2 linked regions of the Rattus norvegicus genome follow. The protein of the gene in region 2 binds, or shares a complex with, the protein of the main gene of each other region. Links are inferred from orthologs where the notes say so. Each region holds a gene or a part of one and is shown on either strand. Other genes may lie near its edges.

The links. Proteins that work in one complex are often made in the same cells at the same time.
Region 1: the proteins of Alk (region 2) and Alkal2 are in contact, whole or in part, in a cryo-EM structure (PDB 9G5I), measured with the Homo sapiens proteins. The link is inferred for Rattus norvegicus from reciprocal best matches to the Homo sapiens genes ALK and ALKAL2. Residues at the interface, in NP_004295.2 of Homo sapiens: Leu684, Tyr739, His755, Ser758, Leu760, Phe856, His857, Glu859, Leu965, Tyr966, Thr967, Pro968, Leu970, Lys971, Val972, Met973, Glu974, Glu978, Asn980, Val992, Glu994, Cys995, His996, Met997, Phe1007, Asp1009; in NP_001002919.2 of Homo sapiens: Ser112, Lys113, His114, His116, Arg117, Leu118, His120, Asn121, Thr122, Arg123, Asp124, Arg133, Arg136, Leu137, Arg140, Leu141.

Annotation. Positions count from the first base shown.
Region 1 is NC_086024.1:53,221,331-53,226,904, forward strand, and holds the start of Alkal2 (ALK and LTK ligand 2 precursor), read left to right. Parts: upstream 1-2,051; 5' UTR 2,052-2,490; coding exon 2,491-2,746; intron 2,747-4,743; coding exon 4,744-4,797; intron 4,798-4,877; coding exon 4,878-4,958; intron 4,959-5,574. UniProt on the Homo sapiens protein: Cytokine that acts as a physiological ligand for receptor tyrosine kinases LTK and ALK, leading to their activation. Cytokine-binding is sufficient to activate LTK. In contrast, ALKAL2-driven activation of ALK is coupled with heparin-binding to ALK.
Region 2 is NC_086024.1:29,319,295-29,324,768, forward strand, and holds part of Alk (ALK tyrosine kinase receptor precursor), read left to right. Parts: intron 1-413; coding exon 414-600; intron 601-2,183; coding exon 2,184-2,274; intron 2,275-2,373; coding exon 2,374-2,438; intron 2,439-4,078; coding exon 4,079-4,208; intron 4,209-5,474. UniProt on the Homo sapiens protein: Neuronal receptor tyrosine kinase that is essentially and transiently expressed in specific regions of the central and peripheral nervous systems and plays an important role in the genesis and differentiation of the nervous system.

The sequences.
Region 1 (5,574 bases), about 24 Mb from region 2:
TGGTCCTGAAATCAGCCTTCACTACCAGGGAGCTTAAAAGACCCACCATTCTGGTAAGCGGAGAACTGCACAGAATCCACCTTGACAATGTCATATAAAAGCTGAATGCACACTAATAATGAGTTCCTTCTTTCAAGTAAGTATTTAAAGTCTGGAAATGTTTATATTATCTGGCATGAGGAATGCTTGGAGTCGTTTTACCGAACAACTTTGCAATATTAAACACACACACAAATTATCTGACCTTTGAAAGACTTCATGCACCCAAACCAACCAAGCATACATTTTCTCTATTGTTGGTGCACATGCCTATCTATATAGTGCACTGAGTTAAGCACAATACAATTGGGTGATAGAGAGGGATCCCACGAAGACTCAATTTGTCCCACAGAAGGATAATTTCACCACTAGCAAGGTTTGTTGTGTTGGTAGAATTCGAAGGGGTAGATTCCGTTCCACTGCTGCTCTTTTGTTTCATTTCATCTCTAAAACTGAAGCTTTTTATTCTGCGAAGCGCTGTTTCAAACAGGTCTAGGCAAGTCTAAACTATAATCACAATAAGCTAGAAACTCTCTAAGTTTCCATTGCACTGTGATTAGTGATGCATAGATATTCAGATACCAGAGCATGGTGATGCTGACCTGCTGAAGGGGAAAGCAGTTGGGCAGCTGGACTCCCTCTTGCCAGAACTTCACGTCCCTTTATACACGGAGAGAGAAAAGGAGGACAGGGGAAGTACCCCATCATATCTGCTTAAGATCTGTTTCTCGTGAAATCTTCCTTTGCCTTGCATGCATTTCGTCAGGAACCTATGCCTTTCAACTTTATTGGATGCAACAAAACTAAATAAACTAGAAAAAAAAAAACCTAGACTAAACTAAAAGAAACCCAAATTCGAAAATCAAATTGCTTGCCTTTAAAGATAGACCCATCACCCAAGGGGTCCCATTTTAGGAGGGTCTCCCATAGCTACTGGTCCCACCCTATCAGGCACTTGATCTTTTAGGGAAACAGAACCAGTGAAGGGAGGGAGAAGGTGGTGGAGAGAGGAGACTGAGTTAGAACTCAAGGACCAACAGTGCAGAGCAGGGCTTGGCACACAGCGACCCCGTGGTCAACGCAGGTGAGCACCTGTAAGGCACTGCATCTTCGCAGCCGCCTGAGCAGCTGCGGGTTAAAGATCAGGGCTTTTAATGCTTGCCTTCTCCCTTTCTGATGCTCTACTAGGAACACCTTTCCCCGATGTGATCGCAGACTTGGAGGACTTCCAGCTCCTGCCCAGAAAGCACCAATGAAATGGGAAACTGTGCAGTTGGTAATACTTATCACAAGGGGAAAAGAAATCAAGCAAGTAAATTGCTGAGCCCTTGCAAATGTGCCTGGCTATTTCCAAAAGATCAAACTTTCTTAAAGATGCAGCTTGAGTGGCAAGAGCCTCGGAGCCAACCTGGCCCAGGGTCCAGCGAGGTACAGCAGTGTCGCTACTTTAAGAACCTTCGCTGACTGCTTGGGTCCCTCCAAGTGTGGGGCTTTCTGCAAGGCGCTCCTGCTTCCATCACCTTCTTCAGAAGCAGAAACCTGCCTGTGTTCAGCAGATCCCTCTTCAAATAAGTCCGGACTCTAGATGACACTCAATGTTGAGGCAATCAAGCAGCTCCTTTTAAATAGCCCAAGATCTACATTTAGACAAAAACAGATCCCAGTTCCCGGTAAAGGCGTTTCTGCTCATCCTGTCACTTGTGACAGGAACGGAGGGAAACAGACTGCCGGAGAGGGAGACAGGAGAGGCAGAGGAAGGACAAGAGAGGGGGAGACCAGACGCGGGTGGAGACGTGAGGGAGGGGCGGAGACTGAAGACTGGGCCAGGAGGGGACAAGGGAGGGGATGAGAGAGCGAGAGGCGGAGGGGCCTGACGAATATCCGCACCCCAGAGCGGCGCTCGGTGGTTCTAATTAAAGCGGCGCTCGGAACCCGGGGGACCCGCCTGACGTCGGCGGCCGCGGGGATAAGAAGCGCCCGAGGACAGCCGGACTCGGAGCAGCAGGGTGAGCGCTGTCCCCGTAGGAGCTGTGCGTCCTGTGTCCCTGCGCTGGACTAGTGGGGCTGGAGCTCGTGAAGTAGTGTCGGGACTGAAGAACCGAGGAGCGCCGCACACGCGGGACCTCCGGCGTGAGCTCAGGTGCCCGAGGGCGACGCGGGATCCACGGCGTGGGCACAGGTGCCCGAGGGCAGTGCGGGAGCCACCGCTGGCAGGTGCCCCGATCTCTCAAGTCCAGGGCGGCCCATCTGCTCCGCGGCTCCGGACCTCAGCAGCCCCGGGCGTCACCTGTGACCTCCCATCTCATCGAGGTGTCCAAAGACCCCGCGCGCCGACCCCGCGGTGAAAGAAAGTTCTGCGGCGGGCTCCGCCTGGACTCCGCGTGCGGGGAAACTTGGGCGCGGGCTGCTGGGGCGGCGGGTCCCAAGACCCGCGACACAGCCCACCAGGCCATGCGCGTGTCCGGGCGCCCGATGCTCCTTGCGTTACTGCTGCTACTGAGCACCGTGGGGGACCCGGGACATGCGCAGCCCAGGGGGCCTGCAGACCGGCAAACGCTGCTGAGGTTGCTAGTTGAGCTGGTCCAGGAGCTGAAGAAATTCCACATAGGAGACTCCAAAAGGCTGCAGCTCCTTGGCGAGTCCGACTTTGCCCTGGGCCGCAGAGAGGCCACGGATTATGGGGCAGACCAAGAAGAGCAGAGAGTGGGTGAGTGTTCCTCGGTGTAGACCCTGGTGGAGGGCTTAGAGTGGGTGAGAGTCCAGCAGTGTAGACCATAACATGAAACAGGGTTCTGGCAGCGAAGATTTGAAAGGCAGAAAGTAAGAGGTGAGTATCTGCCAGTGTAGACCTGTAGGGTCAGATTGTGGAAGAGGGAGCCCTAGCAGTGTGCATCTGAGGAGCAAAGTGGGGGAGTGCCCCGCAGCAGTGCAGACCACGAGGTACAGAAAGTTATTAAGACTGAGCTGTTGCAAGTATGGACCAGTGGGCTGCAGAGCGGATGAGGATCCAGGCAGAGTAGACTATGAGGAACAGAAAGTGAGTATCCCAGCAGTGTAGACCTGAGGGGTCCAGAATAGATGATTGGTGGGTGTCTGAAGACGCCAACCTACAAGGTAGAGAAGGAATGAAGGCCAAGGATTCGAACCACAAGGGCAGGAGGGGGTGAGGTCCTGGCAACGCAGAACTGATGGGAATGAGTCTTGGCATCTGGACCTGAGAAACCAAGGATGTGTGATTGTCCAGCAACATAGACCTAAAGAGTGAGTGGGGTCCTGCCACTGTGGGCCCTGGAAGAGTTCTAGCCTCACTGCACCGAGGAGTAAAAGTGGGTCTTGATAGTATGGATAGCAGGGCTACCTTCTGTGACTGAAAGACTCATTATATTAGTAGTTTTTTAAGAACTGTTTTTCAGAAGCGGGTTTAAAGATAAATCAACTTTTGAAATTAACAGAGGGGTGTGTGTTTGTGTGTGTGTTTGTGTGTGTGTGTGTGTGTGTGTGTGTGTGTGTGTGCCTGCATGTGTGTTGTTTGTTTTTGCTTGTTTCTCAGGAGAAACCTGGCAGAAACAAGAAACTGTGTGAGCCTGTAAGATAGCAATCCTAATCCACTTCCAAGATGTACTGGTGCCCAGTTCAGGACGCTCTGCTCCTTACAGGGGAGGGTTCCCAGCCCACCATTTCCAGCAGAGGCAGAAATGGCCAGAGCTTCCCTGATGGAGCCCTTCCCAGAGTGGCCCGTGGGAATTTCTCAGGGAAGCATACAAGCTTTTAATGCTTTCATGACACAATTAGGTCAAATATGATAGGGTCACTTTTGTGTAAACTGACTCAAATAAGGAGTGCACGAAGAAAGGCCTTGGGGAGTAGTCTCCATCTCCCTCCTGGAAGACTCCATGCCAGTGCCTCTCGTCAGCTATTGGGAAAGGGGAAGACAATATTTCTGGTAAAATACAATGTGACATTACACAATCATAGAGAAACTGCTTGCCTCATGTGGGTCAGAGACATAGAAAATGATTGAAGAGGCTGAGAAATGAGGCAAAGACAATATCCAAACTCAGAAAGAAAAATCAGGGAATCGTTGCTGGAGACCAGGTGCCCCCTGAAAGCATGATTATGAAATGGTGTGTGAAAAATCTTTCTTTAATTCCCCTCTTTGCCTTATAAACCAAGGATATATATATATATATATATATGTATATATATGTGTGTATATATATATAATCAGCCTATATATATATATATATATATATATATATATATATAATCAGCCTATCAGAAAACCGTAAAGAAACTTGATCCTTAAATGACACACTTTGGGAGTTGAACGTTCAGGTTTTACTTCTTGAACTTTTAAATGCTGTGGAATTTGATTTCAAAGTTCTTCAAAGTAAAGTGTATGCAAGCGATTCATCTACTGGAACATATAAAAAAAAGGTTTCTTTTCATCCTGTAACTTTATACCCAGAGAGAATAGACTGGTAACATTTGGAGCTTTAGGAGTAGTTAATGCTGCTTGAGAAAAAAACCATGTCCCGACCTAAGTGTCCACATTGTATTTTGTGCAACTACCAAGTGTTCTCCTATTTTATCCAGTGCATTGTAGTATGGATAATGCAATTCTCAGAATTTCCTCCACATTCACTGAACGACCACACTTCATAGGTGCTCTGTTCAAGTAATACGATTTCTCACCCCTCGTAGAGATTGTTCCTCGAGATCTAAGGATGAAGGACAAGTTTCTGAAACATCTCACAGGTGTGTGTCCCCTTCAGTCCTCTGCCCTCCCTGCTCCTTTGTGCCCTGAGTCTCTGTGACTTTCTTCCTCTGTGTTCCAGGTCCTCTTTATTTCAGTCCGAAGTGCAGCAAGCACTTCCACAGACTTTACCACAACACGCGGGACTGCACCATCCCTGCATGTAAGTGAGCATCCAGTAGACAAAACTCTGCTCTTCCTTCAGTACAGTGGGGCTGCTCTGTGACAGGGGTGGGGGCCTGAGTGTCCCCATCTGACTGGATTGGGGCAGGATGCCCAGACATGGGAGCAGGTGGCTTAGATTCTGCAGCAACCAGTGCCACTCACGATGACCCATTGGGCTTAGTCAGCTCTTGCAATGGGCTGACCCCTCTCATCCGCATCCTAATTTGTTTATGAACCCTGGCCCAAAGCCCATGTTCTATTCAGCTGAACACCACACAGGTAGGGCGAGTTGCTCAGGTGTCTGCTGGTGGTCAGTGTTGGGGTATAACCAGCCTGGCTGGCCTGAGGCTCTTTGGTCAAGCTTTTTTGGCCATCTCCATGGCTCTGGCTAGTGTGGTTTTCCTCCCATCAATCATAAACCCCTCAGCACCCAAGATTTTTATTTGCACTTCCGAATGTTGTCCTTCTGGCTGTTCTTCTTCAGCTCGGTGACACAGGGCTCATGCAGTGGCCCCATTTCTCGTATCTTTCTTTCCATTAAATTTCTTTTCATTTCCAACAAGCTCCATCTATTTATCTACTGTAGTATATTTCACTTCCCCAAAATGATTCCC
Region 2 (5,474 bases):
CTGGACTGCATTTAAAAGGGAGAATGTGAGGTGAATCCAGGCGTGCCTTTCTTCTCTGCTCTTGACTAGATGTGACCAAACCACTTCAGGTTCTCACTGTCTTGACTTCCCCACAATGATGGACTATACCCTGGACTTGTGAGCCAAAGAAAACCCTTTATCCCCTAAACTGCTTTGTCAGTCTGTTAACAAAACCCCGTGCCTGTGTGACACAATAAAAAATATGCCAGTTAGGTGATTTTAAGTGTCACGCTTGTTCTCCATGGAGAAGGAATACTCTGACACGCTCAATCACTCTGTTAGTGTTGTTAACGGTGATGGGAAAGTTGAGAGGTCAAGGTCTGGAAGAGGTGGCCTCTGCTGAGCTTCACCTGGTCCAGACCCCCTCACAGCCGACACCCATCTGTCCGCAGTGTACCGCCGGAAGCACCAGGAGTTGCAAGCTATGCAGATGGAGCTGCAGAGCCCTGAGTATAAGCTGAGCAAGCTACGGACCTCGACCATCATGACAGACTACAACCCCAACTACTGCTTTGCTGGCAAGACTTCATCCATCAGTGACCTGAAGGAGGTGCCTCGGAAAAACATCACCCTCATCCGGTGAGCTTCCTGCCTCTGTCCCAGGGCTGGGTTCTCTGTGCCATGGCCTCCTCTAGCCACAGGGAGCCTGAACAGCCATCCCCGGGTACAGCCCCGGCCTCTCGGGGAGACATGCTTAGTGTCCATAGGCTCATGGGAATGTTTGCTTGCTTCAGCACCCTGTGTGTTCACGAAATTTATGAAATGAAAAGGATAAATCAAGTTCTCAAAGTTCAGAAGACTCCTGGCCCCAGTTCTGTTCTCTGAGCATCCAAAGAACTCATGATTTCCTCTGTCATCCACCACGACACCCCACAGCGAGGATCTGTCAATCATCTGCCCCTGTTCCCAGAAGTATCGCCCTCTTCCAGATATGAGTCATCCCTCACCTTTGTCCCTAGCAGACACCAAGGACTCACTAACTCTTCGTTAAGAGAATAAACATCTGATCATCTTCATGAATCCCTGTTAGACCTGTGTTTGATCTATTTTCTGTGTGCTATCACACAATGCCACAGGATGGGTAGTTATGAAGAAAAGAGGTTCGATTTGTCTCAGAGTTAGGAACCCGAGGTCTGTGACTGTATCTGGTGATGACCTTCTTGCTTGCAAAGACAGAGTGGGCACCCTAAGCTACCAGGACCCGCCCATGGGATGCTCCACCTTAACAACCTTGCCTCATCTGAATCACTTCCTCTCCTCATAGTCAGGATTGCTTTTCTGCGTGTGAACCTCAAACCTTAGCAGACCTGTTCTCACCAGAGCAGATAAAGAAATGGAGGCCCAATAACAGTGCGAACATTAGTTTCTCCAACATTCTCGGTGGCTATACGAACACACTTGAGGGCAGGCCCCATGCCCAGCAGTAGGTGGCTAACACAAAGTGAACTCGATGGTATTTTTTAGAGGTTTTCTAACTCATAATGCTTTACCTGGGCTACTGCTGCTGCTGCTGTTGCTTCCTCCTCCTCCTCTTCCTCCTCCTCTTCCTCCTCCTCTTCCTCCTCCTCTTCCTCTTCCTCCTCCTCCTCTTTTTCTTTCTCCTCTTCCTCCTCCTCTTCTTGTTACCTTACAGGTCTTTTACTTGTGCATTATGGTTTTTAGTTTTGTGTTTTTAGATTTGTGTGTATGAATGTGTGTGTCTCTGAGTTTCTTCAGGTTTTTTGTTTTTGTTTTGTTTTCTGTTTGTTTTGACCTATTCTGACTGGTTTGTTTGGATTTTGTATTGTTGTTGTTGTTGTTGTTGTTGTTGTTACGTTAGATTCCTGTTTTGCTTTTTTTATGAGAGAAATAAAGGGGGTGGCTTTAGGTGGGTGGGTGATCTGGGAGGAGTTAGGGAAGGGGAAACCATAATATGAATAAATTGTATGAAAATATACTCACTTTCAGTTTAAAAAATAAAATAAGGTAATTTAAATAAGAAAGGAAAGAAAGAAGAGAAGAGAAATGGAGGCCAGGGTGACATAGTGAAGCCAAGCTGAAGGTGTAACTCCCGAGTGGTCACCCTTCCTCTTGTGTGTGTACACTGAATGTGACACTGATCTCCAGGTCCCCAGCTGCCTGTGGCTCACTTAACTGTGACTTGTCTTGTCTTCTTGGTACAGGGGCCTAGGCCATGGCGCATTTGGGGAGGTGTATGAAGGCCAGGTATCTGGAATGCCCAATGACCCAAGCCCTCTACAAGTGGCTGTAAAGGTGAGGGGTGGCTCCACCTTCCGCCTAGCCTTAGCCTGAGGTCCCTGTGGGCTACAGCCACAGCTCACAGCCACCTTCTCCTCCCACCCTACCTTCCAGACGCTGCCGGAAGTGTGTTCAGAGCAAGATGAGCTGGACTTCCTCATGGAAGCTCTGATCATCAGGTAAAGGCACAGAGGCCCAGCCTCTCCCCCGACCCCTCAAGGCATAGAAAGATCTTTCTAATGGATGGGGATCTTTAGAGGAAACTGGATATATGTTGGTCCCAACATCCCCCTACCCACACAACCACGGGAAGGACCCCTGAAGTGGAGCAACCGCCCATGATTATCTCAGGAAGGATCTGAGTGGCCTAATTACTGATAGCACCATGCCTCCCCAGCTTCCTAGTGCCAGCCATTGGCTCCCATTCCTCACTTAAGGAAGCATTCTTGCATTAGATGGTATCTCCCACCCCATCCCCCCCCAAGTGACTCTTCCAGAGCTGAGGTCCTTGGACATAGAGTAAGGAAACCAATGAAAGATAGCCGACCACCATACCCCACATCGACAATGACAAGGGCTGCACCCTAACAGATAAGGCAGGCCTGCATTGAAACCAGGAACTTCCTGGGGGTAGCAATTCAGGTCTCTTGAAGGAGGAGGCAGACAGTTGTCCTTGTGACCTGAAGGAGGCTCACAGATGTCTCTGGCGCTATGATGCCTCCAAACATCCTGACCCGGGGAGGTGGCCTGGAGTGGTCCAGGTTGAAGCAGCAAGAATACAGCCAAAAGCTGTCTGAGTGATACATTTATAGGCTCTGGAACGTGTGGAAGACACACTGCCAGGATAGCACTTTGCTTTAAAAAATAATATTTATTTTCTAGTTATATATGTCATATAAGAGTAATAAATAAAACCTAAAACGTATAAGATTACATAGAAGGAGAGCTTAATCATGTAGTATTCCTACTAGGTAGTAATAAATGGATATATTTCAGCATATAATCACCAGTCTTTCAACTCAGAGTGTGTGTGTGTGTGTGTGTGTGTGTGTGTGTGTGTGTGTGTGTGTCCATCTGGGGTTTCCTAGCCCCACTGTTCTGCATATCCTAAAATGACAAGATAAACCAAATCTCAGGACCTTGGGTCCTAATCAGTCCCTGCCCATGTGGAGTCTTCAGAAGACTATGGAGATCAGTGGGCCATCTCTCCCCCTGACACTCTGTCACAGACTGTCACCACACAGGTCACACGATCTCCCTTTCAGAAGCCACTCCTCCAACTTCTGCCTGAGACCTTCCTTAGAGAATTCAGGTATAAATTCATGTAGCAGTGCTCACACAGGCAAACTCTAAAAACATCTGTACACATGCAAACACTCGCATACACACACACATGCACAAACACATACATACATATAAATATGTGTACACATGCATACACACAAACACATACAAACACATGCACACATATAAACATACACCAAACACATGCAAATATACACACATGTGCACACACGGGGCATGCACACACTCACACATGCAAAGTACACATACATGTACTTTGTCACCTCAAAGTCCTCTGACTCCAACAGAATCCTTCCCTGTTAATTCAGCTCCTGCCAAGCCTGCTCAATGTATGCATCTCTCCAGGGAGGTTTACTTCAAGTTCAACCAGAGACCCCTATTTATAGAATATTTACCCATATTTATAGAATATAGCGTCATGGCATGGTTGCTGAAACCATGACTCTCTGCCCTGCTTTTCTTGATGGTCCCAGACCTGGCTTCGTTAAATTCGATTATGCCCTCTGCCCTGTAGTAAATTCAACCACCAGAACATTGTCCGCTGCATCGGGGTGAGTCTGCAAGCCCTGCCCCGCTTCATCCTGCTGGAGCTCATGGCTGGTGGAGACCTCAAGTCCTTCCTCAGGGAGACACGTCCTCGCCCGGTGAGTGACAGCGTCTTCTCTCATGGCTCCCAGGGCTCATGTCCGGGGGAGTGGGTTACAAGGGAAGTACTTGCTTGATGGGCTCCTAGGAGTCAGCCCTGGGGTTTCGTCATGAAGAGAATGGTCAGAATCGAATGGACAGAGAGTGGATGGTGGACGAGAACCTAAGGAGACTGTACAAGCCCTACACGATAGATTCAATAACCTGACTCATGACCTGATGACTCTGGACCAGCAAACTCGGAGAGGGACTTGCATGCTAACTGTGTCACTCACTGGCTCTCCATCCGAGGATTCCGAACCCACTGATCTCTTCTCAAAAACAAATATAATAGGCAGCACCCTGACTGTGTAGTTTTCAGTATAATAATAACAATAATAATAATAACAACAATAATAATAATGACAATGACAACATCATGTTGGAATACCTAGGAGGTAGTATGTATGCCTGTGGTGTCCTGTATGAGGGACAGAACTTGTGAAAAACTCTAAGGTACATCCATGAAGCCCAGCCTTTAACCCCTGCATGGCCATCAGGCATCATACAACACGGGGCAGCCTCACTTTCTTTGGCCTTAGCATCTGTGCAGATGAAAACTGAGTTCTCTCACCTGCCACTGCCACCCAGCAAGGCCCCTGTCCTTTCTCTGCCCTTGCCCTGAGGGTCTCGGCGGAGTTGCTGGCAGAGCTCATGGAGACAGACCATTGTCCCAGCACAGCAGGCAGGAGAAACAGATCCTTGGTGCCTTCACTCTCTGACCCCTACAGTGCCACCCTAGGGAAGGTTAGTGTGGAGGCTGCTGTCTGTTCTGATCTTAACACCAGGCACCATCTGAGGGGTGCTCTTGAGAGAACCCCCTTTTTCAGAATTTTGATCCCATCCATCGAATCTAATCTTGGTGACATCTTTCCTTTGGGTGCTAACCACACATCCAAGTGTCCACGAAACCACAGCCAGGTGGCCCTGCAGTCACCCTGTTCACTGGCCTTCCTCTGCGCACTCCACATAAGCTGTCCTTCCTGCCATGCTGGCCCAGGGGAGCAGCTTTACAGATTGGAGCACTGCCCTCCAGAGTCTCCCCTTCCCCCCACTGCTGACATCTCTGAGCAACGGCTTCCTGGGGAACTGGAGGGTTTGTTGGGGTCCCTCCATGCGCTTGGTGTCACAAAGGCAGCTTAACTCCAAGTGTTTGGTTGACTATGAGAAGGGAATGTGACTTGTAGTGAACCAGTGAATCGTTACAGACGACGCAGAGGGATAGC